Drosophila melanogaster: one gene and its partners. The protein of the gene in region 1 interacts with the protein of each later gene in a pairwise test. Each region holds a gene or a part of one and is shown on either strand. Other genes may lie near its edges. The genes, in order: Tbcc, Prat2 and CG1638.

What was found.
Region 2: the proteins of Tbcc (region 1) and Prat2 interact in a two-hybrid assay, tested with the Drosophila melanogaster proteins (one large-scale study listed by BioGRID).
Region 3: the proteins of Tbcc (region 1) and CG1638 interact in a two-hybrid assay, tested with the Drosophila melanogaster proteins (one large-scale study listed by BioGRID).

What each region holds. Positions count from the first base shown.
Region 1 is NT_033779.5:4,181,805-4,192,270, reverse strand, and holds Tbcc (Tubulin-binding cofactor C), read left to right. Parts: upstream 1-4,477; 5' UTR 4,478-4,704; intron 4,705-4,771; 5' UTR 4,772-4,787; coding exon 4,788-5,855; 3' UTR 5,856-6,021; downstream 6,022-10,466. Other genes in the region: Naprt (nicotinate phosphoribosyltransferase), read left to right, coding at 1,447-1,712, 1,779-2,188, 2,252-2,329; lectin-24Db, read right to left, coding at 3,044-4,123.
Region 2 is NT_037436.4:6,908,725-6,920,339, reverse strand, and holds Prat2 (phosphoribosylamidotransferase 2), read left to right. Parts: upstream 1-5,463; 5' UTR 5,464-5,650; coding exon 5,651-5,699; intron 5,700-5,759; coding exon 5,760-5,926; intron 5,927-6,375; exon of another isoform or gene 6,376-6,583; intron 6,584-6,812; coding exon 6,813-8,240; 3' UTR 8,241-8,341; downstream 8,342-11,615.
Region 3 is NT_033777.3:31,585,070-31,595,538, forward strand, and holds CG1638 (uncharacterized protein), read left to right. Parts: upstream 1-5,511; 5' UTR 5,512-5,548; coding exon 5,549-5,667; intron 5,668-5,723; coding exon 5,724-5,776; intron 5,777-5,829; coding exon 5,830-6,072; intron 6,073-6,132; coding exon 6,133-7,049; 3' UTR 7,050-7,247; downstream 7,248-10,469. Other genes in the region: rod (rough deal), read left to right, coding at 20-528, 587-956, 1,014-1,278, 1,349-2,174, 2,234-2,867, 2,928-3,038; CG1635 (uncharacterized protein), read left to right, coding at 3,684-3,790, 3,851-3,921, 3,975-4,217, 4,277-5,202; CG1774 (uncharacterized protein), read left to right, coding at 8,051-8,240, 8,298-9,526; RpL6 (ribosomal protein L6), read right to left, coding at 9,855-10,469.

The DNA of each region.
Region 1 (10,466 bases):
ATGCATATATGCGTTTATATATCTAAGCTAATATATATATAATATATGTCCATGTATATGTCCTCTGCTTTGGTGTCACGAAATTGGTCAAAGATCCTCGAGAGTGGGAACTAATCCGGGCAATAGATTCGAACAATGAAAATCAACCAGAACAGGTGAAGTCATTTTATTTTATTTATTTAATTTATCGCTTTGCTTTCTCCCTGTTGCCCGCCCAATTTTCTACAGTGTAATTTTTCGTATCACTTTCTTCTACTAACACACGCTCAATTATCATTATACATTTTTCCGTTTCATATTATTTTTTCTAACTGACTTTTGTTTATTATGCTTTTTATTTTTTCTCGTCCTAAATGTGAATGTGAAACAAATAGAAATCGAAAACATAATCGAAACCGAATCAGAATCAGAAAACCATAAAATATCGAAAGCAAATGAAAAGAATTTACGAACCTAACATAGTAAACAAATGACTTCCGGCACTATTTTGGCAGAGGTATGTAAAACACACGTCTTCAACCAACAAAAACATGAGAAAATATCATATGGCATACAATTCACCTACTCAAAAGCAAAAAATACGACAAACGAAACCAAAGTTCATGCATAATGATATACGATCCTTAAGCTCACAAACACATAACCAGGTGCATAAAACAATCAAGAGAAGTGCAATTAAAACAATTTTCTACTGAACCTTGATCATAACCAAATAGTTTATTAACAAAGCTAAACAGTTTTGTTGAACAAAACGTAAAAAAGTAAACTTGTTCGCTTTATTTCTGCATTGTTTTAAGCACATAAATGAAAAAGAAACCTACGAAATCACGCACTGATTCACCCTAATGCTGTCATAGACTAAACCCCGTTCTTATTGTCCTCGTCTTCAGTTCGAAAACATTTTGGTTTTAGGAAATTAAACTTAAATTTTCTTGTTTTCTGTGCCCCAGTTTTGTATTGTTACATACATATATTTTTCGAAACATTTTATTTACGACCAACAAAGAGAACTTCAAAAATGTTTTTTCTTTTTTCGTTGGTTTTATGACCTGTACATAGTTAAGAAAAGCGTCCGAGAGAGCACACTGCATGGCTTGAAAAACAAAACCGAATAACTTCGACTTTTTTGTGCTGCTGCTCCCCTTATGAGAAAATTATGGCATTTTCCCAGGCTTCAAATTTCGAACACAAAGAGCCGCACCTGCAAATCGAAGAGAACCAATTTGAGTTCTGAAACACGTTTTATAGCTCCACCTCACTTTCGAAACATTTGAATTTGCGTAATTCTCGCTTTCAAACTAGTGACCAAAAACCAAATTTAAAATATTGTATAGCAAAATGAGTAAAATGAGTTTAACGTTGAATTGAAAACCAAAAACCAAGCAGCACTTGTTGGAATCCATAGATGCGACTTCTAAACACATGCTTGTGATTTCTTCTCCACAGGAGTGGCTTGCTGAATTTCAGCGCTGTGGCCTTGGCCCTCAACGATCTGGGCTACCATGCGCTTGGAATTCGAATCGACTCCGGGGATCTGGCCTATCTTTCCTGCCTGGCACGCGAAACGTTCGAGAAGGTGGCGGAGCGATTCAAGGTGCCGTGGTTCAACAAGCTGACCATTGTGGCGTCCAACGACATCAATGAGGACACCATTCTGAGTCTCAACGAACAGGGGCACAAGATCGATTGCTTTGGCATTGGCACGCATTTGGGTGAGTTTGCTGTACTTATGTACATTTGAAATCTTGAATGTGTTGTAAATATTGTGTATTTTGCAGTTACCTGCCAACGACAGCCGGCGCTGGGTTGTGTGTACAAGCTCGTTGAGATCAACGGCCAGCCGCGTATCAAACTGAGCCAGGACGTGGAGAAGGTGACGATGCCGGGCAACAAGAATGCCTATCGGCTGTATAGCGCCGATGGTCACGCGCTCATCGATCTGCTGCAGAAGGTATCGGAGCCGCCGCCAGCGGTGGGACAGAAGGTACTGTGCCGGCATCCGTTCCAGGAGTCGAAGCGTGCCTACGTGATACCCTCGCACGTGGAGTCGCTCTACAAGGTGTATTGGAAGTCGGGCAAGATTTGCCAGCAGCTGCCCACGTTGGAGCAGGTACGCGAGAAGGTGCAAATCTCGCTGAAAACGTTGCGCAACGATCACAAGCGCACGCTCAACCCGACGCCCTACAAGGTGGGTGTAATCATTTGATTTGGCTTACGAAAAGGGTCTAACCAATGTCTCACTTTTTTTCAGGTGGCTGTCAGCGATAATCTCTACAACTTCATTCACGATCTGTGGCTTCAGAATGCACCAATTGGCGAGCTATCATGATCTATATAAGGAGGATCTGGCAAGGATGCGCTAAAACATTTCCGAGAAATTTACTTACCTTTGGTTTTCAATATTTGTTGGCCTCGATTTTGGGGTCGTGGTGGATTAGTTTTTTTTTTAGTCAATTGCTGGTCATATGCATTGTAGAGCTGGAACTCGTTCCGTCACACGAGGATTTCCCGCTGACTATGAAGCACAAACTCCCACGCAATTTAGCGAGTGAATTTCAAATCAATAGTTTTAACGTGTTTATCTAATATTTACTACTACTACTACTACTACTATGTAAAACGCACATCATATTCAGGAATGTGTAATGTGCCTTAAACGAGAAGCGGAAGCGGAATTAGAATCAGGATGCACAGGAATCACGAACCCAAATCGAGTTACTAAGTTACAACCAAATATCGGAACGGAATAAATATGTCTTTAATATTTTTCTAGTACTTAAGTGTTGAAATGTTGCGAACGAAGGATGAATGTTAGAAGTACAAATGCTTTTTAGGACATTTGCACGCAGTAGGGCACAACACATCAAGCACACAACTATAACTACTCTATCTATATATAACTACATACATACTGCGATTATGTATTTAACTAAAAGGTAAAAGAGCGCCGCAAAGAGAAATCAACTTTCTACGACAGTTTGGGAATAGTTTTTAGTATCTGTATCTTTTATTTATTTCGAATATGCAAAGACAGTGTTTTCATTTAAACTTCTTTGTCGGTTTGACAAATAACATGCTTCTTTCTGTGGCACGGATCATCGTTCATTTTGCTCCTAATCAGCTCCACACAGTTCTCATCTTCATTGCCGTGATTGGGTTCGCCCGCATTCCAATTGAGGAATTCAACTTCCCTGCCGGATGCCACGGATACGTAGGTGTTACTGCTTTGCAAGTCGTTTATGCCCAGCCAGTAGCTCTTGTCGTCCAGTCTCGCTGAAATGGCGTCCAGCTCCTCTTGATCCTTGATGGCGGCTATATAGCCACCCATGTCACGACAGAAGTCTACAGCGGATTGCCAGTCGTAGGCATCCTTGTGATTTATGTAGAAGAGTCTAGAGCCGATTCGCTCAAATTTCGGCCAGAAGACCTTGGTATAAATTTCCTTGAGTGTGACTTGGTTGGCGGACTGCTGAGCTCCCAGCTTGGTCAGCTCATCCTTCTGATTCTGCTCCAACTTTTGCAATTTCCGTTCAAAATCCTCTGGGATCTTCTTTAGAGTTTCCTGAAGTAACTTCTGCTGTTCTTCAATCTGAGCCAGCCGCATTTCGAAATTTATCGGCATGGCGTTCTTTAGGGCTTCCAACTGATCCTGCTGAGATTCCTTGGTGAGATTGATTTGATTTTCCAACTGGTCGCCCAATGTCTTTTGCTGATTTTCCATTTTCATTAGCCTCGCATCGAGTTCAGCTGGCATTTTCTTTAGAGACTCCTGCAGTGTCGTCTGAAGATGTTCCATTCGGTCCAGTCTATCCTTGATGTCTCCTGGAACCTTCTGCGCTGATTCCTCCAAGGATAGCGCTTGTGCCGCCAGCTGGGTCTGTATCCTGTCCAATTTGCCCTGGGTTTCGTTCAGCCAGAGGGCCTCGGAGGTGTTCCATTGCTCCTGGTGCTTTACAATGTGATCCAATAGCGGTTGGAGCACCGAAAGGCAGAATTCTCCGCACTGATTTGGCGGATCTTTCAGAAGGCACACGGATCGGGAATTTTCTGTGGATTCCGCTCGTGATTCAACCAGATTGCAGGCAACAAGTAAGTACACAATACATTTTTCAAGCCTAAACATTTTGATATCGCACAACCACTGCAAGCGCAGAAATAAAACGTACTGATCCGCATTTTATGTAAAAGGTTCTACAGAGCAAAAAAGATAAGACCCATAATTTAAATTTAATTCCGTTTTTGCATTTATCAAGAATTTATCGCTTCTGTGGGCGACATTCAATGTGCTTTGTGTTCGGCGAGATGTTTGATTGTATTAAGTTTCTTACGCTGCTTACAAGAGTTCATAATTAATATTATCGCATTTCTCCTATAAAAAATTCAAATCTAAAATTTCCCTGGCGCGTATTCTTCTTCTTGCCGCCGTTGCCATTCACCGTGCGCATTAAACGGTAATGTTGTTTGGTCTTTTTTAGTACATAACTGTTGACACTCACAACGATTAGGCAACATTTGTTATTGTGAGCAGCTGCACAAAATAATAAGAAAATTAAACAAAAGGTTAATAAACAGAATAAAAATAATATAATTTCTCTTAATTTGAACTACAATCACTGCGCATATGATACGTGCCCAGTAAGAAAGCCGCGTTTTCCATGCATTTCTCTGCAGCTGCGCAACTTGGCAAGAAAAACAACAACAACTGTGATTCATACGGCCAAATAGAAGTTATGCCCTAGAAATTGATTTTTAACCAGATATTTCGTTATAGATTGATACCGAAAATCATGGAAGGCGACGCGGAAAATCGCAAGGATCAAATCCTCGAGCGTTTGAACAAAAGAAACAAGGACAGGCAAAACTATTTGGATGTGAAATCGGAGCTGCGTTCCAAGGAAACAGTGCAGAACGAGGGCGTTGACTACTTCTACCAGACTTTCAGCCAAAAAACCATGGATATAGAGCAGCGATTAAAGGATGTGCAGTGCGGCGATGGCCAGCCAACCGATTTGGCCAGAAACTTCGCCGACATAACTGTGGAGATCCAGGATCTGCAGCGATATCTCACCGCATCCACCATGTTTCTGCCCGACTTCAAGATCAAATCCTGTCAGAATATCCTTAACACCCTGACCGCCGTCAGTGATGAAACCCGCCAGCGCCTGTTGCCCAAGAAAAAGTTTGGTTTCAGTGGCAAAAAGACCGTCACAAAGCCAAAAGTCCCTCCAAATAAGGATATAGTCGACGCGAAACTCAGTAAAGTCCCAGAAAAACTAGGCTCCAATTTCACGTGGACGATTGCCAATCGAACGAACGAGCATATAGTCCTGGATTCCGCTAAAGTCAATGGCCAGGACATCACAATATCGAAACTGAACCACTGTTTGGTTGAACTGCAGGGTCATCCCGGTTCTGTGCAGGTTTCCAGGGCCTCCAAATGCACGCTGCTATGCGGCCCCATCGCACGCTCCTTCTTCGCCGAGAATCTCGAGGATTGCACCCTCTCCATTGCCTGCCAGCAGTTGAGGTTGCACTCCTCCCGGTCCATTCGCATATACATGCATGTCACCTGCCGCGCAATAATCGAGGATTGCAAGAGTATTGAGATCGGAGAGTACAACTACGATTATTCCAAACTGGAGGCCGACTACCTAGCTTCTGGACTGAATAAGGCACAGAACAACTATACGGATGTGGCCGATTTTAACTGGCTTTCGCCGGATGTCCCCTCGCCGAACTGGAGCCTCCTCAAGGATTATCCCGATCCGAATTGGAACGCCTTAAGGCGCGACTTTATTGCCAATAACCATAACAGCGAACTTAAGCAGGATGTCAAGGACATATCCATCATTTAGTGGCGGCATCGGCGGCTGCTCCTCGGTTGGCTAGCCTACGGCATCATCCTCGGTTGGCTGCTCTGGGAAATGCTGCTGCGGCCCTCAGTTACAGGCCCAAAATCTAATCCTCGATCTGTGTAATTAGCTATAAGCGTGTTGATTAAATAACCATTATGTAAAAAACAAAAATAGTCTCTTGTATATTAAGGGACTCCAAATCATTGTCAAAATTTTTTTCAGTATCTCAGCAGTAATCATTTTGGAGTGGGTGAGTTAAAGTTTGACTTCTTCGATAACATATGTACATATGTACATGCGTATGTACATATGTATCTGTTCTTGTTTATGTCGTGGCTAATTTGACATGTCCAATTCGGATGTGGCATAATCAGTGGTTGGCCAAAATGGCTGTGGCTGCCACACACATTCCGGAATGGGCGGAAGACGGCGCCTCATGCAAGTTTCATGTGGCCACAACAGAACCTCTCAAGCCATTGCCTGCACATTGATCGGGTCACTCCACTTACACATCAGGTTTGTTCTGAAAATGCAAAAGTAAAGAAATACTTTAGAAAAGCAAATTCGTATGTACATATGCTTTTCATTGCGTTTTCTGATTTGATGCAAAACTAAATTGATATTAATAATTTATTTTTGTTTATTTTAGTTTTTTCGAACTGTCAACTTCAAAACTTATACGCAATTTTAAGTTAGAGTATCTGTTCTTCGTCATCTCTTAACTGTTAAGCTATTTTACTCTTCCCCCATTCACTCACCATTTCTCTCATCCCGTTGACTTTTGCGGCTGTCAACATGGCCGACTGTCAAAATAATTAACGAATTCGAGTTACAAGCGGTGAAGAAGGGGATGCATCTCCGCAAATAAGTACATGTGTGGTATATATGTATGTATGTGGCTATAGCTCATGAAGGCGGAGGAATCATCGGAAGAGACAACTCGTATTAGCGAGGTAATTGAACTGCGAGTTACACAAGTAACGGTGATGCTGTTAGATTGGAAGGGGGAAGGGGGGAGAGCCAAATTGAGAGCAGGTAATGAGCTGTCACAATTGAGGATAGTGACAAAAACGGTGTGAAGCAAGGAGAATAACAGATGCACAAATACCAGAGTGCGAAACAACGGAAGATCAGCAAGTGAAGTAAAGAAAAACGCGAAAGTGCGCAGATTTTCGGCTTATCTCTTGGTTGATCTTCAATATCTCATTAAACTTCGCTTTCATTCAATGTGAATTCACGATGAGGAATAGTGCATATTGGGAGCTTACTACAAGTAAGCTACAAGTAAATAAATGTAAGGAAAATGAGTATATAAATACACAAATCACATAATTACGGTGTATAATATAGCAACGACTTTTGCTTTGCTTTTTTTATTTATTTTTTTAAGTGTAGTGATATTGGAGTGATATAAGTTTAATCAAATTTAAATGGTGTGGTGATATAAAATACAAATATAATTTAAAGTGGCATGGATAAATCATTTTAAAATTCCGAATGAAAGGATTAAGAGGTATGTACCCGTATTGAAATGTTATGTACTGTATCTATTATTTCCAATACATTTTAACAACTTATTTACCATTTCAATACCATAAGCAATACACAAACAGAAATTGTTCCAATCTAATTGCAAATGAATTGTCGATAATGTGACGAAATTGCATCAATTTGCTGTCAGTTCATGTCAAGTGCACATGATTCGCACTCACCTGCTATTCACCTGTAATTTCCACTCGAGTCTTACCAAGGTTTAGTTTCATTTTCAACATAATAACGTTTGAATATCAAATGGTGCGTTTTATGTTGGCAGGCTATGGGAAATAGGATCACTTCTTAAACTAAACATATATTATATTAAAAATATAAAATATTTTAATGTGTCTTTCAAACTTGAAGATTCTGATTATTTCTTCTATCTTATCGTCTTTGGCGATTGCCAGCGACTGCAATATCCGTTTATTTAAATGAAGCCGATACACTATCAAATCTAATTGCTTTCACACTTGAACTGTGTTGGTAATTCCGGCCGCACACACACACACACACACACACATACACACATACAGTATGCATGTGTGCTCACAATACGGACAGGTGCATCTGGTGGTGCCACATTTGCATAGCTCACAATTAGTTTTCTCATTATCGCAGATAATATTCGCCGCATTTGCGATAAGACCGAGGACCCAACAACGGTGACCGCCCCCACATTAATATTATCGCAGTGCCTGTAATTGCCTGACTCTCTCACACTTTGATGGTTTCAATTACTGCAAAATCACCGAGCCGCGCTACCTTCGTCCTGGCTCCTTCGCTCTATGCCCACGGTGACCCACATGCAATCCGCAAATGCCTTTGTGTGCGGATTTTATGGCTCAGCTGATGTGGCCAACGATGCTAATTTACGCATTTAGTTAAGCGGCCTTAATGTGTTGGCCCAAAGTGTGATTTCTAGGTAGGAATAACAGCGATTGATCAATTCAGCCAAATATCACTCATACGCCATGTATAAGTTAACACAATCACAAAACACCCGAAATATAGTCGTAAGCCTCAAGTGCTTTTCCCATCTATAGATCGAGCTTTACCTATAAGAAACTGTAACTTGTTAAGCTTTAGAGATAAGAACTCTTGCTTTACTTAAGTTAGTCGATTTTGGAAGATTAGAAGCGTCGGTCATCGCCACGTACTTACTATTCGTCTCATTAAGTGCAGACCGCGCAAGCCCTATTGTAATTAATAAACTTACGCTAATAAATATATGGAAAATCTACTAAAATGATAATTGGCGCCCAAACGGATATAAAAACCTACGATAACTGAATAATTATAAATAAATAACAAAAGGAGGATCCGGAGACAAAACCAGCGGCTTTGGCTAATTAACTCTAACCTAAGAAATAAAAGTTTCGTGATTACATAAAGTATAATATTAATTACTAAGACCATCTACCTTAAAATTGTTTGTTAATCACTATTATTATATTGTAAGTATAACGCTTGTTGAACGAATTGGAAATATTATTATTATTATTATATTATAACCTATGCAAAGAGTATTGATAATAAAAATACATGAGTGACAGTGATAACCTTTTGGACAACCTAGTGTCAAGCTTAAATAAATGGTCAGCGCACCAGGCAAGTAGGCAAAACAGTGCAGAAAAAAATAATAGGTCATCAGATAATTGGTGGTCAAAAACAAAGACAACTAGCGAAATGGAATTTGAAGCTCAGTTAAAAGCGATCGTAGAGAGTGCTGTTGCCGGTGCGCTCGCAGTCCAAAAACAATCATTTGAAAAGCAATTGCAGGAGATGAATGAGCGAATCGGGAAATTAACAGTGAACACCCCAGAGGTGGAAACTTATGTAGATGCTGAAATTAGACCAGGTGTTGTCTGTAGCGAGCCTCTAGATATAATTAAATCTCTGCCAGATTTTGATGGCAAAAGTGAAACATATGTGTCGTGGAGAAAAGCGGCTCATGTCGCTTTTAAAGTTTTCAAAGATTACGAGGGAAGTTCAACATTTTACCAAGCTCTTGGTATTATGCGAAATAAAATAAAAGGTCCAGCGAATACAGTATTGGCTTCTTTTAAAAAACAGCTAAGAAGAGAAAATGTAACAAGACGAGACAGAACCTTTGAGGTGGGAGAAACCGTCATGGTAAAACAAAACAATCGCTTGGGAAATAAACTAACCCCACGGTATAGGGAAGAACTAATCGAAGCAGACCTCGGGACAACGGTCCTCATAAAAGGGAGGGTCGTTCATAAAGATAATCTACGCTAGGTTTAGTATTTCTTTTCCTTTTGTGACCATCGCCAAGTTAGCAAAATACAAACGTGAAATCTGAACACTAGTAAAAGAGTTTGCAAACATTTTTCAATTAAATATTTGTCAAATCCTTCTTATTTAATCTTTAAACATTTTGTATTATTTCCGCTTCATCCTCTTTAGAAAATTTTAAAGGTATGTGATGAAATGCTAGACCCGAATGATTTGAAAACTTAAAGTCCACGCAACCACAAATATTTCCTGAAACTACCATAGAAAATAAATGCATTACCAAAACGGCATAATAACAGTATAGCGCACTCACTCTAATTAGATTTCAAATTCCCGATTAAAAAAAAAAATAAAACACTAATGTTATCAATACCCTTTCCTGATTCTGTTCAACTAAATAGGAAAATCAATACTTGCAATCAATAAGCGTTTTACTACATACTTTAATATCAAAAATATCTGAATGAACTTTATTATAAAATTATAATTGTTATACTTAATTATTGTCAAAACTTTAGTATTAAAACTGTAACTACCTCTTAAGTAGATGAGAAGAGTAGAAGAGGGAATTAAGATCTATCAACGTAGTATCTGCTAAAGACGTAAAGATGCGGCAACTATTTCTGCGCCTGGGTACTGAAACGACGAACTGAATAATATCTGCCATCAGACGCCAACCAGAGTGCGTTCAACACATACGTTTTGATGGTCAACTAGTTCAACCAACATCAGCATCATCGTCGTCAACAAGTCGACGGTTACAATAAAGATTTTTTCCAAGTTCGCTACGATCATCTCCAGAACCTTGTTGCGAACCCA
Region 2 (11,615 bases), on another chromosome or scaffold:
CGGCTTTTTTGGGGATGGTCTACGTCTATCTAGTCCTTTGCCACGGGTGTCCTTTTTGTTGTGCTAATGTTTGGCGTTTTTATGGCTTGCAGCAAATTTGATTTATTGGCAGAACTTGAGCGTTCAGTTGTTCGCAAACTTGTGTAAAGTTTTCTTTGGAGGAGAGTTCATCATATAATTGATGCGATTTGCGGTTCATAAAGTGCAATTGCCTGTAAAGTGACAAAAGCGAGGCAAGATAAATGCTCGCACACATATGGGAGGATATTTTTGTGGCCTTACAAGAATGGAGTACACTTAGTTAATAGAATAGATCTATCCTTGTTGGATTTTATATTCAGAGTGCTCAGAAACAAACTAATTTAGTACCAGTAAGTAATCAATTTAATTTGTAGCCCTTATGGGTATTTTCCCATTTTTCAACAATTTTATATTAGAAAGATGAAGTTTCAGTAGATACTCTAGGTAAACAGTTGGTTAAATTCCTTTCAAATATTTTATTTTATTTGACAAATGCACCTTGGATGCGAGTGTTGCCAAGCCCATTCCAAACTAGATCAGATCATCCTAAAGGTGATCAAAGTGTGTCAGTGCAAAACGCTGGTCTCTTTGTTTGTCTTCCCCGGAGATCTGCTCATTTCCCATGCCAAACAGCAGATATAGATACAAAACTGAGACGACGACGCCGACGAGTCGGCCTCATTAGGTGACCCAAAGTGTCCGAAACTATGCAATTTACATGCACAGAAGCCCCTCGGAGATAGAACCCACGAGGGCCAATAGACCGTGGAAGATAAGAGCGGAACTGGAACTCAAACCAGACATGCCACACCAAAAAAGCCAACCAGTCCCATTCGAATTATGTTGTACTGCGGCTATTTCGAGGGGTTGAGGAGCTGACTATCCCAGCGAGATCGTTGCGGGGCGATACATAAAATTTGAATGCGTTTTGCATACATTAACCCACTGTTGCCCACTGTGTGCCCACTGTATGCCCGGGGGTGACTCTGACTAGTAACGGTCAGCAGTTGACCAAAGGCTAGTGGAAAATGTGTTTATTAAATTTTATGATTATTGGCCGGCAATTGAGCAGCTCGCCTTGGGAATGTGTCGCCATTCTCCCCTTTTATTATATATTTTTTTTATTTCCATTCCCATTTCGATTGTGAAAATTGAAATTTTATGCGCACAAGTGGCAAGTTCCTTTAGCGAGAAATGGCCTGAAATTCTCACGCGTAACTGGAGCAGTTTTTGGTGGCTCTGTTTTCGCTTACACTTTGTGTTGGTAATTCAATTTACGTTTTCGAAATGCTAATTAACCCGTCCGAGAAAGAGAAGGTCTCTTCTCGCGTTTATTTCTGGGTGTTACACATGTTTTGGGAACTGCCTAATGTGCCACAAATTGAATGTCATTAAGATTTTACAACGGAACCCACTGTAAACACGTTGCGACCCCCTTTGACAGACATCAATCAGTGGCTCATTACGAATGCACAAGTTGGCTTTAAGAAAGCGCCAACAAAGCCACATGGATTTTTGGTCTAGTTCTTAAAGATGAGGTATTCGACCAGGGAAAACTAATTAAAGAAATATTGGTTGGACGACGATGGGCGTGAAGGCGGCGGTACACATCGCTGGACAATTTGGAACGCTCCTCAAATTGGCAACTAAGTAAACTTGAAAGCTGCTGGAGCTGGTCCATCATCCAGTCGGGTCTACACGCCCACTTTTTTCATGGGGGACTACTATTTGTTGTTGTGACTGCTTCGTTATGCAAATTCATGATGGAGGAGAAAAGAAAAACCATCGCGAAAACAAAAGACAGAAATGAAAATTGTGTGCTATATGGTAAATATATATATATATATAAAGCAAATGCAAATTGTATATAAAGAAATGCCAGAAAAGACAAATAACAGGATGGAACGGCAGAACAACAAATTTTAAACGACGGATTTCTTTAGCTTTCCAACTCTGTGTTTTCTCCCCGCTTCTTTGGAATAAATAATAAACGTAAACGAATTAAAAACGCTGGACGAAAAACGATGGGGAAGGGTCCTCGAACCGAAGCTGTCCTTTCGATATTTTTGTGGCTTCTGGTTTTGGTTTTGGCATGGAGAGTAATCATCAAAGTTCTTCTGAGACTCTGGTTTCTGTTTACTTAAACCAAGTTTATGCGGCTTTCAATTAGTTTTAATTGAAATTTCCATTGGCCAAGGAAAAGCAATTGGACTGTGCGTTTAATTAAAGTTTTACCAGCCATGCTGATTGCGATTGACTTGACAAGAGTTAAGATAAAGGCATTCAGGTTGATTAAAAGTATTTAGAAAGCTAGTATATTAAAGATATTAATATCTATATAGTAATATGTAGAACTTAGAATTTAAAAAAATGGCTTGATTTATATTTGCAAGGTTTCTAAACCCGTTGCAACTTTTGCGCAATATCTGGCTAGAATAATTGCCCACTTGAATGCCAGCATTAGGAGAACATTTTATTCAATTGCGGCTGGCGGGGAAAAACAAATAAAATTTATTTTCCCCCTTTTTTTGGTGGTCACTTCTTCGGGAGAGAGCATAAAATAAAATGAAATGATGCGTTGAAAGCAAACCGAGAGCCCTTGGCTACTTTCCTCTACCAAAAAAAAAAAAAAAAGTGGGCGGCGCCAATCCATGTGTGGTTGCCCAAAAGGATAGGATGATTCGTATTCCGGTGATTCGCGATGGAGTGGTGGAATGGAATGGGGATGGTATGGTATATGGTATAACGTTTTTGGCTCAATAGATATGTGGCCATGGGGTCCGGGGCCATTTGATGATTTTTGCGTCACCGTTGGTCAAAATCATTTCGAGCGCAAGCAACTGGAAACTGTATAAAAATAATGAAAAAGGAGGGCAGGGGAACGCAGCGTGGCAACGAAAGCAACTTGAAATAAATGGTCAAAAGAAATAAACAGTCCCATAAAGAATAATCATTCAGAATTCTGCTGAATTATGCATGAGGCAGACGGTCCGTGGTTCATGGTCCACAATCCATGGTCCATCGTCCAGGAGCTGCAAACTGGACGCCACTCCACGAGGCGAAGGAGCAGCAGTCCAAGGAGCAGCAGGGGGTGTGGCACTCACATATGCGAAAAGTCCCTCCTGGAAACGCGAACCCAACCCAACCCAAGCCAACCCAACCCACTTGCTGAAGCATCATTTTCCTCTTTATTATCTGTTTGCTTAGCTGTGAGTGTGTGCTGGATTTTTATCAGACTTCTAAGCAGTTAGCTGCCTACACAGTAAGAATTAAAAGCCTAAAACATAAGTTAGAAATTAAAAACAAAATTTTAAACTTAAAATAGGGCTGTAATACTACTAATAAGAAAATATACAAATACACAAACTCTTCTCTGAAATTATAAGCCTTATTTTTATAAATTTCTTTATTTATTATTAATTATTATTATTTTTTTTTTTGTTTTATTTATAGGGAAATAACTATTGACTATTTCTTAAGCAACCATTTCTGTCAGTGCATTAGCCGGCTTCCACTTCTATTTTTCCGGTAAGGTGGAGCTTTGGAGGAGGTTTCCCGCGGAGCAATTCGGCCTGCTCGGTGGCGCTTGGCCAAAAGTCAACCAACATTCGCATAATTTTCGATAAAGCTTTTCGCCAAATGAAATTCAAGTGGTTACACATGTCTCACTGCCACCCAACCCAAACCCAAACCCATCGCAGCGATTTTCGCTTGGTCATTTTTCTTGGACACCCCTCCCCAAACAGCATATAGTATTTCGGTTCTTCCAAAAAGTCAGGCTCATTTCCACATTATATGCCGCATCTGATTATCTGCGCTTTGCTGTTTGTTTGCTTAGTTTTTGTTTATTTCGTTTGTTTGCTTGATTGTTTGTTGTTTTGGCCGAAAAATGCTGATAATAAAAGGTAATGATGGGGGGCTACCTATATATGGGTTATCTCTTTGTTAAAGGGCGACTATGAATCGACGGATTTGGAAATGGAAACTTTAAGTTTTGATAGAGCAATTGTCATGGGGATGCTAATGGAGATTGCGAAGGGATTACGCGTATTTTGATTAGGAAAGTGGCAATAATTGTTGGTTGGAAGAATGGCATACTCTTTTATTTACTATTTGCCAATTTGGAGTATAATGATTATAGTAAATAGACAAATTATTCAAACACAAAGCGATAGTACTTTCATTCAAAGTAGCTTATCCAGATATTGGAATAGTTATTTCAAATAAATTTTTGAATTTTTAATTCAACACAACTCTATTATATTTTTTGTTTATTTAAACAACTTATTCTAGCGATTAAAAATGTCCCGTTCTCGCCGACCTTATACAACACGTTCATAAATACGGCGGTGTTTTGTCTGGACCCCTCAGTTCTGCTTAGCACCTATTCGAAGTGAATCGGTTTTGTTGGGGAGGGCGAGAGACCCACTTTAACAGGTAGACAACACGACTTAACCACAGCAGGCTTATGCCTGCGGTCGCTTCGATTGCATCAGATGAGGTGCGAATCCCAATCGGAAGCTAAATTAGTGCTAAAAAAAAAATAATAATTAAATTGAAAATCAGTTGATCAGCGATCACATGGCTTTGGGTTTTCTAGCCTATAAACAAGTGGCCTGCATGTAATATATATCAACTGGTGGCTATAATTAGCACAAGTGATTAGTTGGCGACTGAAGTTGAATTTGTTTATTGTTTACGATCCCTCATTTAATCGTGCGATCGAGAGCGGATCGATCAACCCTCGCCGATTGTGCTCTACTGGGGGGCTTGGAATTTAGCGTACATTCGCGATAGCACAGCCCATTTAAGCTGCAAAAGGAAAACATAATTTAATCTGTTATTGTTTACGCCGAAATGGAAAACACTTCTAAAATGCGTCATTGAACGCATTTTCCCGATAAGCAACAAAGTGTCAACATGAAAGTTGGATGGATTATGTAAAAGCTTAGGCAAGACAAGAAGATTTTTCGCTGACTCTGTCTCCAAGGGGGGCCCTTAAATATAAATTATTAAACTTTGAACTTGAAATGCATGTGCTAGCGCATCGAGCTGATAAGGAAATCGATGTCGGACTCGTTTAAAAAGGCGCATATGATTTGCTGATTTGAGATCAATGCCAAAGTGAGATGCGTGATTTTGAAGACTAGACAGACATAATGCGGTCATTGAATCGGAATGATGTTGATCAAAGCCAAAACGTGAGAAAGGAATCACAGTGTTTATTTTTGGTATAACTGGCATAAATCGGCGGCGGTATCAAATTTTGTGCCCGACATGCGTTTCTCGATGCGGTTGTGGAACCACCGGAATCTTCCCGATCCCGCTCCGCCCGCCGAGATTGCATTCCCAGCTCAACTGATAACCACGACGAGTATATCAGCTACCAGCCATATATGTACGATGATCGGAGGTTTAATTAGGCGCGGCTGTAACATGAACATTCATAATTCCGCTGGCATTCAATCAATGCAGACGTGAACAATTCCAGTAGTGACCGAGTGTTCGACTTAGCCAGCGATCTCGTGCAAAGTGTACAGTGTCTCAATCGTAGTCAATACCAATTCTCAACCAAGAAAATCGATACTCAAAACATACGTAGAAATAGAAGTTACTAAAATCCAAGCATATGATGGCGCAAAGTGATTCTGGAAATTGCTGTGCCAAGCTTAATAAAGGTAAGAATTCATAAATATTTAATAGTGATTGTGCACAGTTAAATCTGCAATCTGCAACAGATGAGTGCTGCCAGAAGACAAAGGATGTGATCTTGAGCGGCGTATCTCCCAAAATGTTTCCCGACAAAATCTACAAGTCTGTTCAACCCAAAGGAGAGGATGCCACCGGAATGACCTGCGAATGCGGTGTTTTTGCAGCCATCGCTTGCGGGGATTACCCAACACAAGTAAGAACAAAATATTTTTTTTTTTAATGTAATATGTAATATAGGACAGATAGGACATATAGTATAGAAAAACACAAAGGTAAAAATTTGGGTTTAAGAAAAAATGTTTAAAGCAAAATTAAACTTAAATATAATACTTGGAAAATTCCGGAAAAATATGTGTAGCAGATTACAATCAATTGTTAATATATAATAAATATTACTAGGACATAGTAGATAGCCACCATGAAATGCCGATCATAACTATATCAATATCTCGAAGTCATTGGGGCTGTCACAAGCCCATCATCACCCGTTTAGCAAGATCCTATGGACGACCATGTAGTACGTCAGACGTATGCCAATCAATGGTTAGTGGGTCAATGGTTAGCCCCGTTCAGATACACCCCCTGCTGATCTTCTAACGATGTCCATCTATCTGTGGCCAATGCCCAGTGGCTGCGGTGACGTCAGTGAGATCGAACTGAATCGCATGGATTTGGTTTGCCGTGCGGTTGTAATCTCTGTTGTTCATGTTTTTATTGCTCGACTGTAATGAAATGGAAAATAACAGAAAGTACTGGTGTATTCACGGTCGGAAATCGGCATACAGTTATCTGTTTTGCTAGTCAACTGATTGGAATTAGCATTACTAAACTATCTTATATGTTGGGCTAGGTATGCAGAAAAAAAAGTATTAAGTTGCTTTGATCTGATGTGATTTGATTCAAGAAAATGCTGAATAACTAAGCTTAAAATAACAATTCTTAATACTGAGTTTGGAAAATGATACGCCATATCGATGCACAGCACCCCCTGGTCTTTATTATTCAATATTCACGTTTATTATTATATTGTAAAAAAAATAAGGAAAATAAAGTACTAAATGGGATTTTTCTGCTTTCAGCTGGACATAGCACAGATGATCTGCCTCGGTCTGGTGGCTCTGCAGCATCGTGGCCAGGAGTCGGCGGGAATAGTGACCAGTTTGGGCAAGTCCTCCAAGAATTTCAGCGTACACAAGGGCATGGGCATGATCAACAATCTGTTCAATGACGAGGCGATCAGGAAGTTAAAGGGTAACCTGGGAATAGGACACACCCGGTATTCCACGGCCGCAGCCTCGGAAGTTGTGAACTGCCAGCCGTTTGTGGTGCACACTGCCCATGGAGCACTGGCCATTGCCCACAATGGTGAGCTAGTGAACTGCGAGTCCCTGAGGAGGGAGGTCCTGGAGCGAGGAGTGGGCCTGTCTACGCACAGTGACAGTGAACTTATTGCCCAATCCCTGTGCTGTGCACCAGAGGATGTGTCGGAGCACGATGGACCCAATTGGCCGGCCAGAATTCGCCATTTCATGACCCTGGCTCCACTCTCCTACTCCCTGGTCGTGATGCACAAGGATAAGATCTACGCTGTCCGCGATTCCTATGGCAATAGACCGCTGTGCTTGGGAAAAATCGTGCCCGTTGATGCAGGACATGCGAATATCAATGACCAACTGGCCGAGGGTTGGGTGGTCAGTAGTGAAAGCTGCGGATTCCTCTCCATCGGAGCCAGATATGTTCGCGAGGTGGAGCCCGGTGAGATCATCGAGCTGTCACGAAATGGTTATAGAACCGTGGATATCGTTGAAAGACCGGACTATAAGCGCATGGCATTCTGCATCTTTGAGTACGTCTACTTTGCCCGCAGTGATTCCATGTTCGAGGGTCAGATGGTTTACTCAGCCCGCCTGCAATGTGGTCGCCAGTTGGCCAGGGAATCGCCATTAGATGCGGATTTGGTCAGCTCGGTTCCGGAATCGGGCACAGCAGCTGCCCATGGTTATGCCAGGGAGTCGGGACTGCCATTCGGGGAAGTTCTCTGCAAGAATCGCTATGTGGGCCGCACGTTCATCCAACCCTCGACGAGATTGCGACAGTTGGGCGTGGCCAAAAAGTTTGGTGCCCTGGCTCAAAATGTCGAGGGCAAGCGGATCGTGCTAGTCGATGACTCCATAGTGAGGGGAAATACCATTGGACCGATTATCAAACTCCTGCGAGATGCCGGCGCCACCGAGGTGCACATTCGCATTGCCAGTCCTCCGCTGCAATATCCCTGCTACATGGGTATCAATATACCCACTCGTGAGGAGCTAATAGCCAACAAATTGAATGCGGATCAGCTGGCGGATCACGTGGGTGCGGATAGTCTGGCCTATTTGAGTGTGGAGGGTCTGGTCAAGGCCGTCCAGATGAACAAGGCCCATGTGAATCCACTCAAAGCTGGCTACTGCACCGCTTGCCTAACGGGCGAGTATCCTGGCGGATTGCCGGAGGAGCTCAGCTGGTAGAATCTCTCAGCAATTATTAATTTCATAGGATTAAGGTAGTTCTTAGCTTCAGCTTGTATATAAATAAATATATTTAAAATTTCGGGTCTTTGACCTATCACAAAAAATGTTGTTTTTAATTAAGCAATATAGAGGTTTTTGTTTCGAGATAAGGAATAATAAGTAGGACATATATTTGAACGCTTCAAACATTCTGGAAAATAACAAACACAAGCAGTTACATATATTATATATAAAATACATATATATATTAAAATATCTTAAAGAAGACATAATTTTAACATTTTTTTGTTACCACCTTTAACTTATTTACTAGTTATAACCATTTAAAATTTTTTTATTTATTTCCTCACTTTATTTGACTTTCTCGCAGGCAAGGAACACATACTCTAAATGCTAATGGGCCACATCAACGTCTGATTATTTTCAAAACTGTCTAATGCCATAACTTCAATTCATTTCAATTTATATTTCCAAGCTCTGTGTGCCGAGGGATTCAGGGGCAGTGGAGGAAGTAGAGTCGCCCGCTTCCGGTTATAGCCGCGCTCAGATATAGCCCCATATCATACAATATGGTAATCGTGTTTGCTTTTTTCGCCCCGTCTCTTTCCGGCTATGTCCTGCCGCCCACCCACATCCTTGTGTTCCGCTCTCTTTCTTGCGGAGTCTCCCCAGTTGGGGCGTTGCAATGTCTAAAGCGGGGCGTTAAGGGCGTTTAATCCTGCGGAAGATGTCCTTGCGGTTATGCAGAGGGGTATCCGTATCCTCTCTCATCGTATACAACTTTTTTCTTTCTTTCTTTCTTTTATGACTCGCGCCGGGTACTGGAGTCAACAATGTCATCATTATTCTTGAATATTGTGTTGTATTTTCGCAAACAATTTCGCTAAGCTGCGCGGCATTGGCAAAGCCGGAATGGGGGTGGGGGTGAAAAATTTGGGGGTGGGAATGGGTCTGGGTGGGAAAGTGGGAGTGGGTTTCCCTACGCTGAAGTGTGGCGAGGACATAAGAGAAGAAAATAATACTGCACTGTCATTGTAACTCGCTTGATTAATTCTTGTGAAGGGTATATACTGCAAGCAGTTCAGGTTTTGGCAAATGAAATGTAACAACATTTATATTTATTTAAAAAACAAAGACAATGAAATGTTATAAAAACATTTAAATTCTTCATGAAAACATAATTTATTTCACACACTAATAAAGTAAATTATTAATTTTTTTTAAGAAGTTAAAAGTTATATAAGATATGAAAAAAATCAAAGTCGCTTTATAATTTCAAAATTTTCCAAAAGCTGTAGAGGAATTTCTGGGTCCTGTCAGCTTCCCTTTTACGGCGGATCCCCATCACCACTCCATCTGAGTTCTCACCAAGTGGCTACATAAAAGAAACGACTCCTGGCAACATTGAAAACAGACGCTGGCACTTCTATCCAACACACCAGCGTCGTTTGCTGCCACAAGGATACGACAGAAGGACCAAGATATCCACGGAAAAAAAATGGCATAGAGAGGCGAGAGCGTTTGCTTATGTGCGCCGTCGATCACAAACACAAACATCCTGTGCCCACTGCCGCAGACAGTGACAACTAAGCAGTGCCATATTGCCAGGAGCCCAGATGAAGAACCCCCATTGGAAAATCCGCCCTGGAAAGGCCCCACCTCTGCGCCGCAAAACATGCTTTAAATTTTTTAATAACGCCAGGCTACAAGAGCGCTGACGCCCACGTCCGGACTTGGGATCCGGATCCGGTTTTCGTGCCCGATGACGACAGCCGGCCCCGCCCACTTCGGCCTGCCCGCCCACCGTCGTCATTTGCACAGAAGTTATGTAAATTAATGTTTACTTAAGTTCCCCATGTTATTTCTCCTTCGCATTTCTTTTTTTTCGCCTTGCACTTTCAGAATGTTTCCTACTTCAAAAACAAAAGCAGACAGCGGGTCGGAAAATTGTGAGGGGGATTTTAAAAGATGGCAGAGAGGTAGAAAAAAAAAATTGCAATAAATTTGGCAGCCGTTTTTGCAATTTAATAAAAAGCTTTCGCAAGCGGAAGGAGAAAAGTCAGCTCTAGTATAAACAATCAAGCTTATTATTGAGTCAAATGGCTGAGTAAATATATGAGCCGAAATTATGGCAATCGCATGCAAATGAAACGGCCGTAGATGAGGATTATGAAGCCATTATCCAAACACTTGATGGAAATTGTCGCCGCTGAAAATTTAATTTAAACATCAACGCCGGGGGCATCGAAGGCATATCCTTCTGCCACTTGACACATGCAACAAGTTAGTGGCAGGGGCCAAAAGCCACACGAACCGTCGAAAGGCAAAGAAAAGGACTCCTTTGCCAGCTCGATGTCCTTTGCAATAGGCACGCAAAACGTGCCCGGCATGCAAGACATGCGATGGCCAAAACGACATCGTATAAAATGTAATTTTCTGGCCAATAGAGCACTTTGTGGGCTGCCAGGATATCAAGGGCTACAGCCAGAACATCCTTTCTCCAGTTCATTAGCAAATCAAACTTCCGTCTTCTTGGCCTCAAGACATTTCTGGCATGTGTCCGACGCAAAAAGGCACGAAATTCCTGTCCACTGAAATTTGCATTCCTCGAAACCCCTGATGCCAAGGACTAGAAAACTCCTTGTCAACTGGTAATTTGATTTAAGGACTTTGGCTTGACCAAAACAACAGAAAAAGGTAAGTGGTCAGCTGGGATTCGCAACATATTGTCTGGTATTTATTTAAACTATAATGTTAAGCATTTAAATAAATTAAACAAATTTATGGAAACATGCTTATAACTAAAATTACTGAAATGACTAAAAATTATGAACAATAAAAAATAGATAATTAACTTTTCATATTGTGTACAAGTTTTAAGATTAAAATCTATTTAATCAACATTTTTAAATCTAAGCTACGAAAAGGTCACCTGCTTTTCCACATAAAAACCAAATCAGAGCGAATTTAATGTCCTCTTTAAGCATTTTCCCAGCTAATTTTCTATTCCCAAAATGGAATCTAATCAAATGTCCGCCCCACAATTTCCGCCCAGCATTAGCTTCAAACGGAATTTGCATAATATTTTTAGAAGCAACTGAATAAAGTTTTGCTGGGCGAACCAACCAGACGACTCAACACAGTATTTCCACAACTTTGCGTTAATTTTCTAAATATTTTCTAAAATTTTCAAATTGCATTTGGATCAGCCACGCTGGCTTTGGATGGAAAATGGAGATGCCGCAGGGCAATCCCAAGAAGTCAGTTTTTCCGTGCTCCAGCTCATTCAGCATACCAAATACCCCCCCCCCCCCACTTGAATTTTATAATTTAAAATTATGAACTAATATAATTTAATTTTTGTGGCTTGCA
Region 3 (10,469 bases), on another chromosome or scaffold:
CTTTCTGTTGTCTTCGAAGAAAAGCGTCGGAGGTCGCATGGCAATAGTGAAGTTCTTGGCTCGCACTCTGTTGCTTATGGTAATCGAAACGGAGCCAAACAACTCATTGCTGATGCAGGTTCGCAATGAACTGCCGGAGAACACAAAAGCGGATGTCGAAAGTGCTTGCGCTGACTTCTTTCTGTCACTGGAGCACTTGACGAAGGTGAAGGAGCACGACGCTTGGTACGTTATGTCGCAATATCTGCTGGATTTCCAGAAGCAAAACTGTCGCACGAAGCGGATCATCAACGAGGGCTTTATTACGCTGCAGCTGCGCCGCATATTCCGAAATGCGATGGGGAGCAAAGATGTGAACTTCATAGAGCTTTTCACCATGTTGGTGGTGGACAGCGAGGCACTAGCGCTGCTGGAGAAGCTCTCCGTTGAAGTAAAGACCGATCTGCAAAAAATCAACTTCCTGACACTATCCGCCATGTACCACGAGCATATCGAAGACTTGGACAGTGTGCACATGATACGCACCAAGTAAGTGAAGTATTACATTAAAAGTCTAGATGTTAAACTTCGTTTTATTGGTTTGCAGGAGATTGAAACTCTTCTATTACCTGGAGTTTTGCCAACAGGATCATAGAATAAAGGGCAAGTTCAATGCCGACATGGACAACATAGAGGACCTGCTTAAGGAGTTTCACAATAAGCAACTTGACGTTCAGCTTTTGGAACGCATGAGCAAGGACTTTGGGTTCGACTACCAAAAGATTCTTATTACCCAGATACTAAGCATATTGAGCGCCCAGGAGTTGCGCTTCGAGGTGAAGAGGGATACCTTCGGCGACGAGGAACTGGTTATGCTAAGCAGCGCCCAGGAAATGCGCGATATGTGCCAACCGTACATTAATGAAATCAATAATGTCGAGCTCTTTACTTCCAAGTTAAAACACTTTATTGAAGACGTAAGCTCACTGATGCCACAAATAATCTTTTTTTTAATATCTTTGCAAATCGTTTAGATCAACATTTACTTCTACGAGTTGTACATGTGTGTGATCAACATCCTAATGTACTTCGATTCGGCTCCGAAGGAAATGGAAATCTGGATGAACATTTTGCACTTCCTGAGACACAAGATGATCACCAGAAGACGCAATCGGCCAGGTCAGGTGGAAACCGACACGTGGCTGAAATCACAAAGGGAAAATGGCGTTATGCCGAAGATATCTCGATATCGTCTGCCTTTTAAGCCCATCGTAGAGCAACCTCTTAAGGATATTCTTGGTATATTCAACTGAAATAGTTTAATGCTTAATGCTTCTGTTTAATTATAGTTTCCGCTTCTTCTATTCAGACAGCGAACTAAACGTGGACAACTGCCAAAGCTGGTTTCCACTGATTCAGATGTACACGGCTTTGAAGGGATCCAAGGATAGTTCCCAGAACTGTGACTACTTCTGCATGTCAGCAGTAAAGAATTCGATATCGGAGTACAAGTCGAAAAATGATTCGGAATCATGGAGTCTTCATCCCACGAATAATGCCTTCCTGCAGTCAATACTACGACTGGTCGAGAAGGTGAACAACCCAAACAAGGCATTTCTAATACTGTACTTCGTGTCCAACTATGCTCGTGATGGAGCCGATCAGGTGGAGGCCTCCTACGAGTGCTGGAAGTTTGTCAAGGAGAAGGGCCACCTGATTACAGATCCAAAGAGTCGCGAGCAGGTTGCCAAGGTGAAGCGACGGTATCCTATTCAGAAGACCCAGCACCTGCTGTATGTCTATGGCCTGACCGATGAGAAGCTACTGCGCCAAGTTGAGAACCCCACCGAGCTTATTCAGGCGCTCTACCACCATGAGCTGATCCTCAAGTCCAGCAAAGTGGATATTAACGCTCTGGTCGCAGAGATAGCCAAGCTGCACGACCTCTGCTTAGCCACCATCCAGTACCGCCTGCTACAGAAGTGGCTCGCTCTGACTATGGAGTCTGCGGGTGATGGTACCATTTTGGAGGAGACCTTCATGGAGGAGCAGAACTGGCCGGAGCAGGCCAACGGCGCAGAGTCCTCCAACAGCCAGGACGCCAGCGAGAACGTAAATAGAGCGTTTTACATACTTTCCAGTTGGCCAAAGGCGGAGGCAGTCAAGTTCCTTGTGGGTCTGATCTTCAAGGGCGGGTAAGGATTGGTACTTAAAAGTTAGCGAAAATAATTCATTGAATAAACCCTTCCACCAGTTCGGTAAACACCTCCACACAGCTGCAAATGTACGAGTGCTATTCCAAGCTAAACGATGGCAGCAACTCCTTTACCAACACGATTAGCCAACGCCAGTTCATCAGCATCAAGTGTGTGCACGAGCTCAAGGCTCTGGGCTACAAGTCGAACCTGGAGAAGTTCTCCGACGACCATTGCAACAAGATTGACATTCTGAAGATGATCTGGCAGCGTAATGCGCAGAATCCCCTTTCGCTGGAAGTCATGGCCAACATTTGCCTGGGCTTTGATATACACTTGCCGCAGATCTGGAACGGCATTCTGAAGCGCATGGTCATGTTCCATATGGTGCGCGAGCTGAACGCCTTGTTGGATGTACTCAGCTGCCGGCCGCATCTACTTCACCTGGATGGACTGGCCCAGGCCTGGGACTATGTGCTCTGCCATCCTCTGCAGAACGCAGTCGAGCTACGATCCTTTAAGCAGGAAGAGGTGCTCCACAAGACGCTGCTGCGCCTGCAGGGCTGTCCGGTGGTGCACGCCCTCAACCTGCTACAGTTCGCCCAGCTCTGCATCGTCGTCCATCGACCGCACATGGCCGCCTCTCTACTCAGCTTCTGCCAGAGCAGCGAGCAACGCCAAAAGATCAAAAAGGTATGCTCGAACCGCGCACTTTAACGAAATGCTCTATTGTCACTCTAACTCTTCTTGCAGATGATACATTCCCATCCGGTGGAGAACCTTCGGCAACAGATCTTGGATCTGGAAGATGCTGGTATTTTGCCGGTGGTGCTGAACTTTGCGCTCAAGGAACTAAATCTGTAAGCGTAGAGATTTGGATTTTACTATTCCCATAATTTTTTGTTTTATTGGTCGAATATCTGCGTTAAGTGCGTTCGGGTCAAGATACTTTTGTAAATATCAAGGTTTTATACCTGCAAATATAGTTTATACAAACGATGACTATTTTCTATTTTAATTTTAATATGTTATTTTATATACAGTAGCAATTAGTCAATATTCAAACAGTACAATCTCTTAATTTCATAATTTATGCATCACAAAACAATGTGTTAATTTGAGAAATTGTCTAGGGAACTTCGCTTCCCAGTTTAAAATTAACAACAATCGGGATGACGTCATACGTATGTATCACTTCTGTAAACAGTGGGCTCAAGTTGATGGAATACTGAAAATAATGAGATATATTAGGATTTTTTTTAAATGAAGACTTTGTTGTGTAAAGAACAGTCAGTCTCAAATCAATTTAATTAAAGTAAATGGGAAAAAATTAATATACTAAAGAATCGAACTTTTCGAAATTAGTTGGAGACGAATTTTCTCGAGCCCACTGTACCAGTCAGCTGTGGCCGCCAGCTGTTTTCTATTTGGGGTTAGATCAAAGACAGGTTACACTTTGTATGTAACTTGAAAAGCAAGGAGAAAGCTGCGAAACTAAGTTAAACCGAGATGATGCGTTCTTTGATAGGAGCACAAAAGTGCTGGGGCCTGATCCGCACCAGGAACTTTATGGAATTACCCACCAAACAGGTGCCAGCATCCTTCGCATTGTTCAAGTAAGAGCAAAAAATAAATGATGAGCTTACATGGTAAATGAGTACTTTCATCTCTAACAGGCGTCACTACTCACCGCCCACGCATATCAAGCAATCAGCGGTCGCCAATGAATCCGGAACCATGGCGGAGGGTAAGTGTTGTCTTGCCAGAGTCAAACCCATCGTAATCCCCGAACGTCTGCAGTCAAGCAGGGGATGATGAAGCGATTGGGGCTGGAGCCCGGTTACAACCCGCTGCCCAAATCCAGGGAGCAGCTGCTCAAGTACCAGCCGAAGCTGGAGGATCTGCCTCCAAGAGCTATGCAGGATTCCTTCACCTCGGCCATCATTCCTCTGAGCACGGACCGCAGTTTGCAGGACAAATATGTGACCTATCTGGGCAATGTGCGATTCGGGCGACTTCTGGAGGACATGGACTTGTTTGCTGGTATGAGGAACACATTTGCTGGAATCTTGGCGCACTTTCTCACTATCCGCTATTTCCAGCTTGGTGCTGTCATAAACACCTGGTTCTGCCCAATCTGCCGGAGGGAGTTCATCTGCCGTACACCTTTGTGACCATTCTGGTGGACCGCATCGATTTCACCAATGTCTTGGCTTCAGGCACCCAAGATATCCGTTTGTCTGGGCACGTTTCCTGGGTGGGAACCAGTTCAATTGAGGTGGTAGTGTGGCTGGAACAGATGGTTGGCGGGAGGTACCAAAAGTTAACCCGTGCCTTGTTCCTGATGGCAGCAAGAAACGCTAACAATACCGGAGCGGCTCCTGTGAACCCCTTACAGCCGGCCAACGAGGAAGAGAAAGTGATTCTGGCTGGCGGCGCAGATAGAAAGAAGAAACGTCAGATTCTCTGTGCTCAGTCCATCTTTAAGGTGGAACCCAATGACCCGGAGCAGACAATTATGTACGAGCTGTACAAAAGGACAACTCCCACCAACACTTTGGAACTCAACAAGCGCATCCTGCCACCAAACTGTCGCTGGATGGAGGACTCTTTCCAGATGAGCACTATTCCCTCATTTCCGGAGCACAGGAACCACCACAACCGGGTCTTCGGAGGCTTCCTCATGCGAAGTGCCCTGGAGATAAGCTGGGCAGCAGCCTACCTCTACTGCAAAACGCGACCCAAGCTGGAGCACATATCCGACATCAGCTTCGAGAAGCCCGTCAGCGTGAACAGCTTCATCAAGATGACCGCCTATGTGGTGTACACCAAGGAGAACTACGTGCAGATCATGACCGTTGCAGATGTGATGGACCCACAAACGGGCAGCCAGGTGACCACCAACACGTTCTACTACACCTTCTCGTCTCCGGACACGGTTACCGAGGTGCTGCCCCGCTCCTACCACGAAACCATGTGGTACATCCAAGGTCGTCGAAAGTTCGAGGCCAGCATGGGCCCAGTGTAGACATGGTTCAGCCTGTGATTGTTACTCAAGATATTATGCAAGGCTATCCTACCAGATAAATGCAATTACCAGTTCAGTGTTTACAAAAAGCAATAAATGTCTGTTGTTTAATGATGTGCTTAACCAACCAGCTTAAAACTTTTAAAATCTTCTATTAAACCCTATCGAAGAGTACTAGATTAAATGTTTATTAATATAATAACTGTCAAAATAATCCCTAATTTTTGCCGACTTTACATTTTTTGGATACCCATTACCTGTAATCAAAAAAGCAGAGCTGAAGCAAAATTTATAGTTTTAATTTCGTGTCGGATCTGAGTTCAGATCTCGATCCCGATCCGTTTCCATGGGGCCTGGTCTTAGAAATGTTAAATTATGTGTTGTACCTTTTTTGCTCGGAGCCCGCAGCTGCCGGAGCTTGTTAAAGGCCAGGACCCTCAGGAAGATGACACATAAAAATTCCAGGTGAAGCACCAACACAACTAGCAGAAATCAGATTTTATAGGCCACATTTCTTCTAGCTCTAATGGGCGTAACTCCTCTGCGGACGGTCAATACGCCACTATGACGGAGAGTAAGTACTTCCATTCCAGAAATAGGTGCTACTTGTCCAGATATCCCTTTTAGTCAAGAAGAAGATGCTGAAAAGCTTCGGCCTGGAGCCTGGGTTCACCACGGAGCCGAAGTCCAGGGAGGATCTACTCAAGTACCAACCCAAGTTTGAGGACTTACCTGCGCGATCTATGCAGGACTCGTTTTGTTCGGCCATCATTCCTCTGAGCACGAATGCAGTTCTGCAGGACAAGTATATCAACTTTAGAGGCTTCGCGCGCCTTGGCAGGCTTCTGGAGGACATGGACATCTTCGCCGGTACCATCTAGTTTGGCCAAAGCCATGTTGTTGAATAATTGTCTGCTTAATTCTTCGTAGCTTGGTGCTGTAATAGGCACCTGAAAGTGCCCAATCTGCCAGAGGGAGTACCCTTGCCGTACTCCCTCGTGACGGTCCTGGTGGACCGGATCGACTTCACCAGTGTCTCACCCCAGGGCACCCAAGACATCCGTCTGTCTGGCCACGTGTCCTGGGTGGGAACCAGTTCCATGGAGGTGGTGGTATGGCTGGAGCAGATTGTCAATGAGGAGTATCAGAAAATCACGCGAGCTCTGTTTCTGATGGCGGCGAGAAATGCCACCAACACAGCTGCGGCTCCAGTGAATCCCATTCAGCCTGCCAACGAGGAGGAGAAGCGCATCCTAGCTGGCGGGACCGACAGGAAGAAGCAACGACAGCTACTCATCGCTCAGTCCGTCTTCAAGGTGGAACCCAACGCCGAGGAACAATCTCTCATCTACAAACTCTACAAAAGGACTACTCCCAACGAGCAAACCGGTCCGCGCCGCCTCCTGCCTCCCAACTGCATTTGGATGCACGACTCCTTCCAGATGAGCACTATTCCCTCATTCCCGGAGCACAGGAACCAAAACAACACTGTCTTCGGGGGATTCCTCATGCGCAGTGCCCTGGAAATTAGCTGGGCAACAGCGTTCCTCTACTGCAAGGCCAGACCCACGCTGGAGCACATATCGGACATTAGCTTCCAGAAGCCGGTCAGCGTGAACAGCTTTATCAAGATGACCGCGTATGTGGTGTACACCCAGGAGAACTACCTGCAGATCATGACTGTTGCCGAAGTCCTGGACGCGTACACGGGGAACCACGTGACCACTAACACGTTTCACTATACCTTCTCCGCTCCAGACGCGGTTACTGAGGTGCTGCCTCGCTCCTACCACGAAACCATGTGGTACATCCATGGTCGCCGCAAGTTCATTGCCAGCAGAAGCTAAGCCTCAAAAAAAATTCCCGCTCAGTTTAAATTCACGTAGTCAGTATTTCTTATAGCTAATGTACACAAAGACTGGATTAGTTTGAGCAAATCTTGTAAAATATGTTAACCAAACTGTGCCAGGTGATATTTCCTGATCCAAAAATCTATATGATGCCTATTAAATCGAGTAACTATTCAAATTCCTTATCGAAAGCAGAAAGCGTATAGTTGGCCGTTGGCCCTGGCTTTTATTTCGAATACCCAGTTGCGTGAAGATCATGACCACTGCCAATGTTCTGGGCACGCACGTGATTGGTGGTGAGCCCTACTCCCACTCCGCAGATTAGATTGGGTCCACAATTGATTCATAGAAAACATTATATTTTCGGTAATGTTTTGCTGTCTAATCAGACCGAAAATTGAATGTAAAACTTTCCATCTTCTTCGCTAGTCTGGCACTTTTCGAAAACATCATCTTTACACCTCATTTCAGATTAGATTGCAAGCTTGAGTAGATGCACTGAAAAATAAGATGTTTCTGTGCTAGAGACGGAATATATTCAAACACATAGTCAGTACAATATTATGGGATCACATCATTCTAGCATCAAATAATCTAACATATTTTCAAAAGATTTAATTCCCAAAAGATCAAAATATACAAATCCGCTCGAGAACCTACGCTATTTCTTGCAGTGCAGGCAGAAGATCTCTCACCAAGCGGACAGGTGATCGTCATGCGCGGGTTCTCAGTCGCCGGAGAGCCATGTAATCGCACAACGCGGAACATTTGCCAACGCTCCACTCGGTTCTAGAATCACTCTCTATTTTGCAGCCCAAGTGAAAGCACTTCATGTAAATCCGAACGAGCTGAGGCGTATTACGTATTAGGAGCTGGGAACTACACCCAAGTGCCCTGCAAGTGATTTCCCCAAAAAATCCATGCCATTGGATCCCCCCAGTAGGCGGTTCAACTAGTTGCAATTTCCAAGGCCCCGTCAACCTAGACACCTGGAAACGATGCTGTGTACCTTGGCACGGAGTTTTGGAACGGCGCTGGCGAGGAGGAGCTCTTGGTCGACTGCCCGGCGAAGGCGACTGCTGGCCACAAGTCCCCCCCCTTTGGCGAGCCAGCAGATGCCCAGGAGCTATACGCTAGACAACGGACCCAAGGTGAAGTCCGATCATCGCTCTGGAACGATGGTGGAGGGTAAGTCAGAGTCTATGTTCGCTTCGGAAAACCTTTCTGACACCTCTTTACCCCTAGTGGCTCGTGTCATTCGCGAGCAATCCGGCGTGGACGTGGGATACCATACGATTCCCAAGCCCCGAGATCATCTCCTGCAGCACGAGCCGAAGAGGGAGGAGCTTCCACCAAGAACTATGCTGGATTCGCACACCACGGCCATTCTGCCCCTGAGCTCCAGTGAGCTAATCCGCGAGAGCTACGTGAATCACCTGGGAAGGGTGAGATTGGGCCGAATTATGGAGGAGTTGGACATGTTTGCCGTATGGATCTGCCATCGTCATGTGAAGCTGCCCAAGCTGCCGAAGGGAGTGCCTTTGCCTTACACCTTTGTCACGTTGCTGGTCGACAAAGTGGAGTTCACCAACCTGGAGCGGTTGCAGGTCAACCAGGACATCGAGATCAGTGGTCACATCTCGTGGGCGGGGCGGAGCTCCATGGAGATTACCATCTATGTGAGGCAGTTGGCCCACGGCGAATATATTGATGTAACAAAAGCAATCTTCGTCATGGTGGCCAGAAATGCCACCAATACGGGACCGGCTCCCATTAATCCTATAGAGGTTGGCGATGAAACCGAGAAGCTCATTTGGGAGCAGGCAGAGAAGCGGCAAAAAGTGCGCAAGTCTTCTGCCATGGACTCAGTGTTCAACTCGCCGCCCAGGGAGCACGAACAGGCCCTCATGTACGAGATCCTCAAGAGAACCACCCCAGCCAATAGTATGGATCTCAACAAGCGTGTGCTGCCGCCGAAATGCCGCTGGATGGAGGACTCTATGCAGTCTACGATGATTGCTCCATTTCCGGAGAACAGGAATGCGCAGAACACCATCTTTGGGGGCTATCTCATGCGCCAGGCCGTTGAAATCAGCTTCATAATGGCTAGCATCTATCTGGGCGATCGGCCCACCCTCAGGTGCATCTCGGACATTAGTTTCATGCACCCGGTGCATGTGGATCGGTTCCTCCAGCTCACCGCCCACGTTGTTTACGCCGCCCAGAACTACGTCCAGCTGATGACCGTGGCCCAGATTTGGGATGCCAAGAGCGGCAAAGTGCAGACCACCAATGTCTTCTACTTGACCTATCGGGCGGACAAGGTGCTGGACGAAGTCCTCCCGCGATCCTACCGAGAGATGTTGTGGTACGTCCACGGTAGGCGGAAACTCCTGGGCGCTCTGCACTTGCAGCCGGAGTACCCCGATCCTATCGAAGTGGCCAAAGAGAGCTCAAATCATATCAGCACTTAGAATTAGCGCTAATGTAAATCGAAGTTGTAGTTGATCCAAATATGTTAATCTGATGGAATTTTAACTTTATAGCTGTTATTTTATAATTTATAGGATATATCAATGAAATAAAATTGTAGAAAGGAATTTAAATTGATGCTTGTGTGCAATTATTGGATTTTAGAAAATGAACTAATCGTCACAGCTGGGGTTCTTTGATGAAAAGGCCAAAACTTTCCGTTTTGTAAGGTTTATTTTACAAATCCTGTTAGTCTAACCAGCGGGCGCGCTTGTACAGTGTTTTTGCTTTAGAAATCCTTAAACTGAAGAACCAAATCCATCCCCTCGCTTAGAATCGCATGCGGTGGGGGTATTGGGAGGAGTGCAGGGCAAACATGTTCTGCAAGTACTTGGCGAAGAACTTGCCCTCGGGATGGGCCTTGATGACCTTCAGCAGGGCGGCGTCCACCTCCTTCTGGTCCTTCTTGCGCTGCTCGTTGGGCACGAAGCGCTCCTTCTTGGCCGCGAAGATGTCGGCCTCGCCGGTCTTCTTGTCCTTCTTAGCCTTCAGACGGCGGAAGTAGGCGTCGTTCAGGTGCTCGGGCACCTTGAAGGCACCGAGATCCACCTTCGAGGAGGTGCCGATCACGTAGCGCTGGGACACGCGACGCAGCGGGCACGAGTTGAGGGCGAAGGGTCCGGTGACCAGCAGGAGTCCGGAGGCCAAGACCTTCAACAGGACGACGCGCTTGCCCTGGTGGCGTCCGGCCAGCAGGATGAGCACGGTTCCGGGGGTCAGGTTGCGGCGCGTGTTGCGTTTGTGCTCGCTGAAGTTTGCCTTGGAGGGGCGCTTCTTCACGAACGTCTTGGTCGGGTAGGAGGCCTTGCTCTTCTTCAGGAAGACCGTGCGCTCACCGCCGTTCTTGGGTCCTCCGATCTTCTTCACCTTCTTGATGGGCACCTT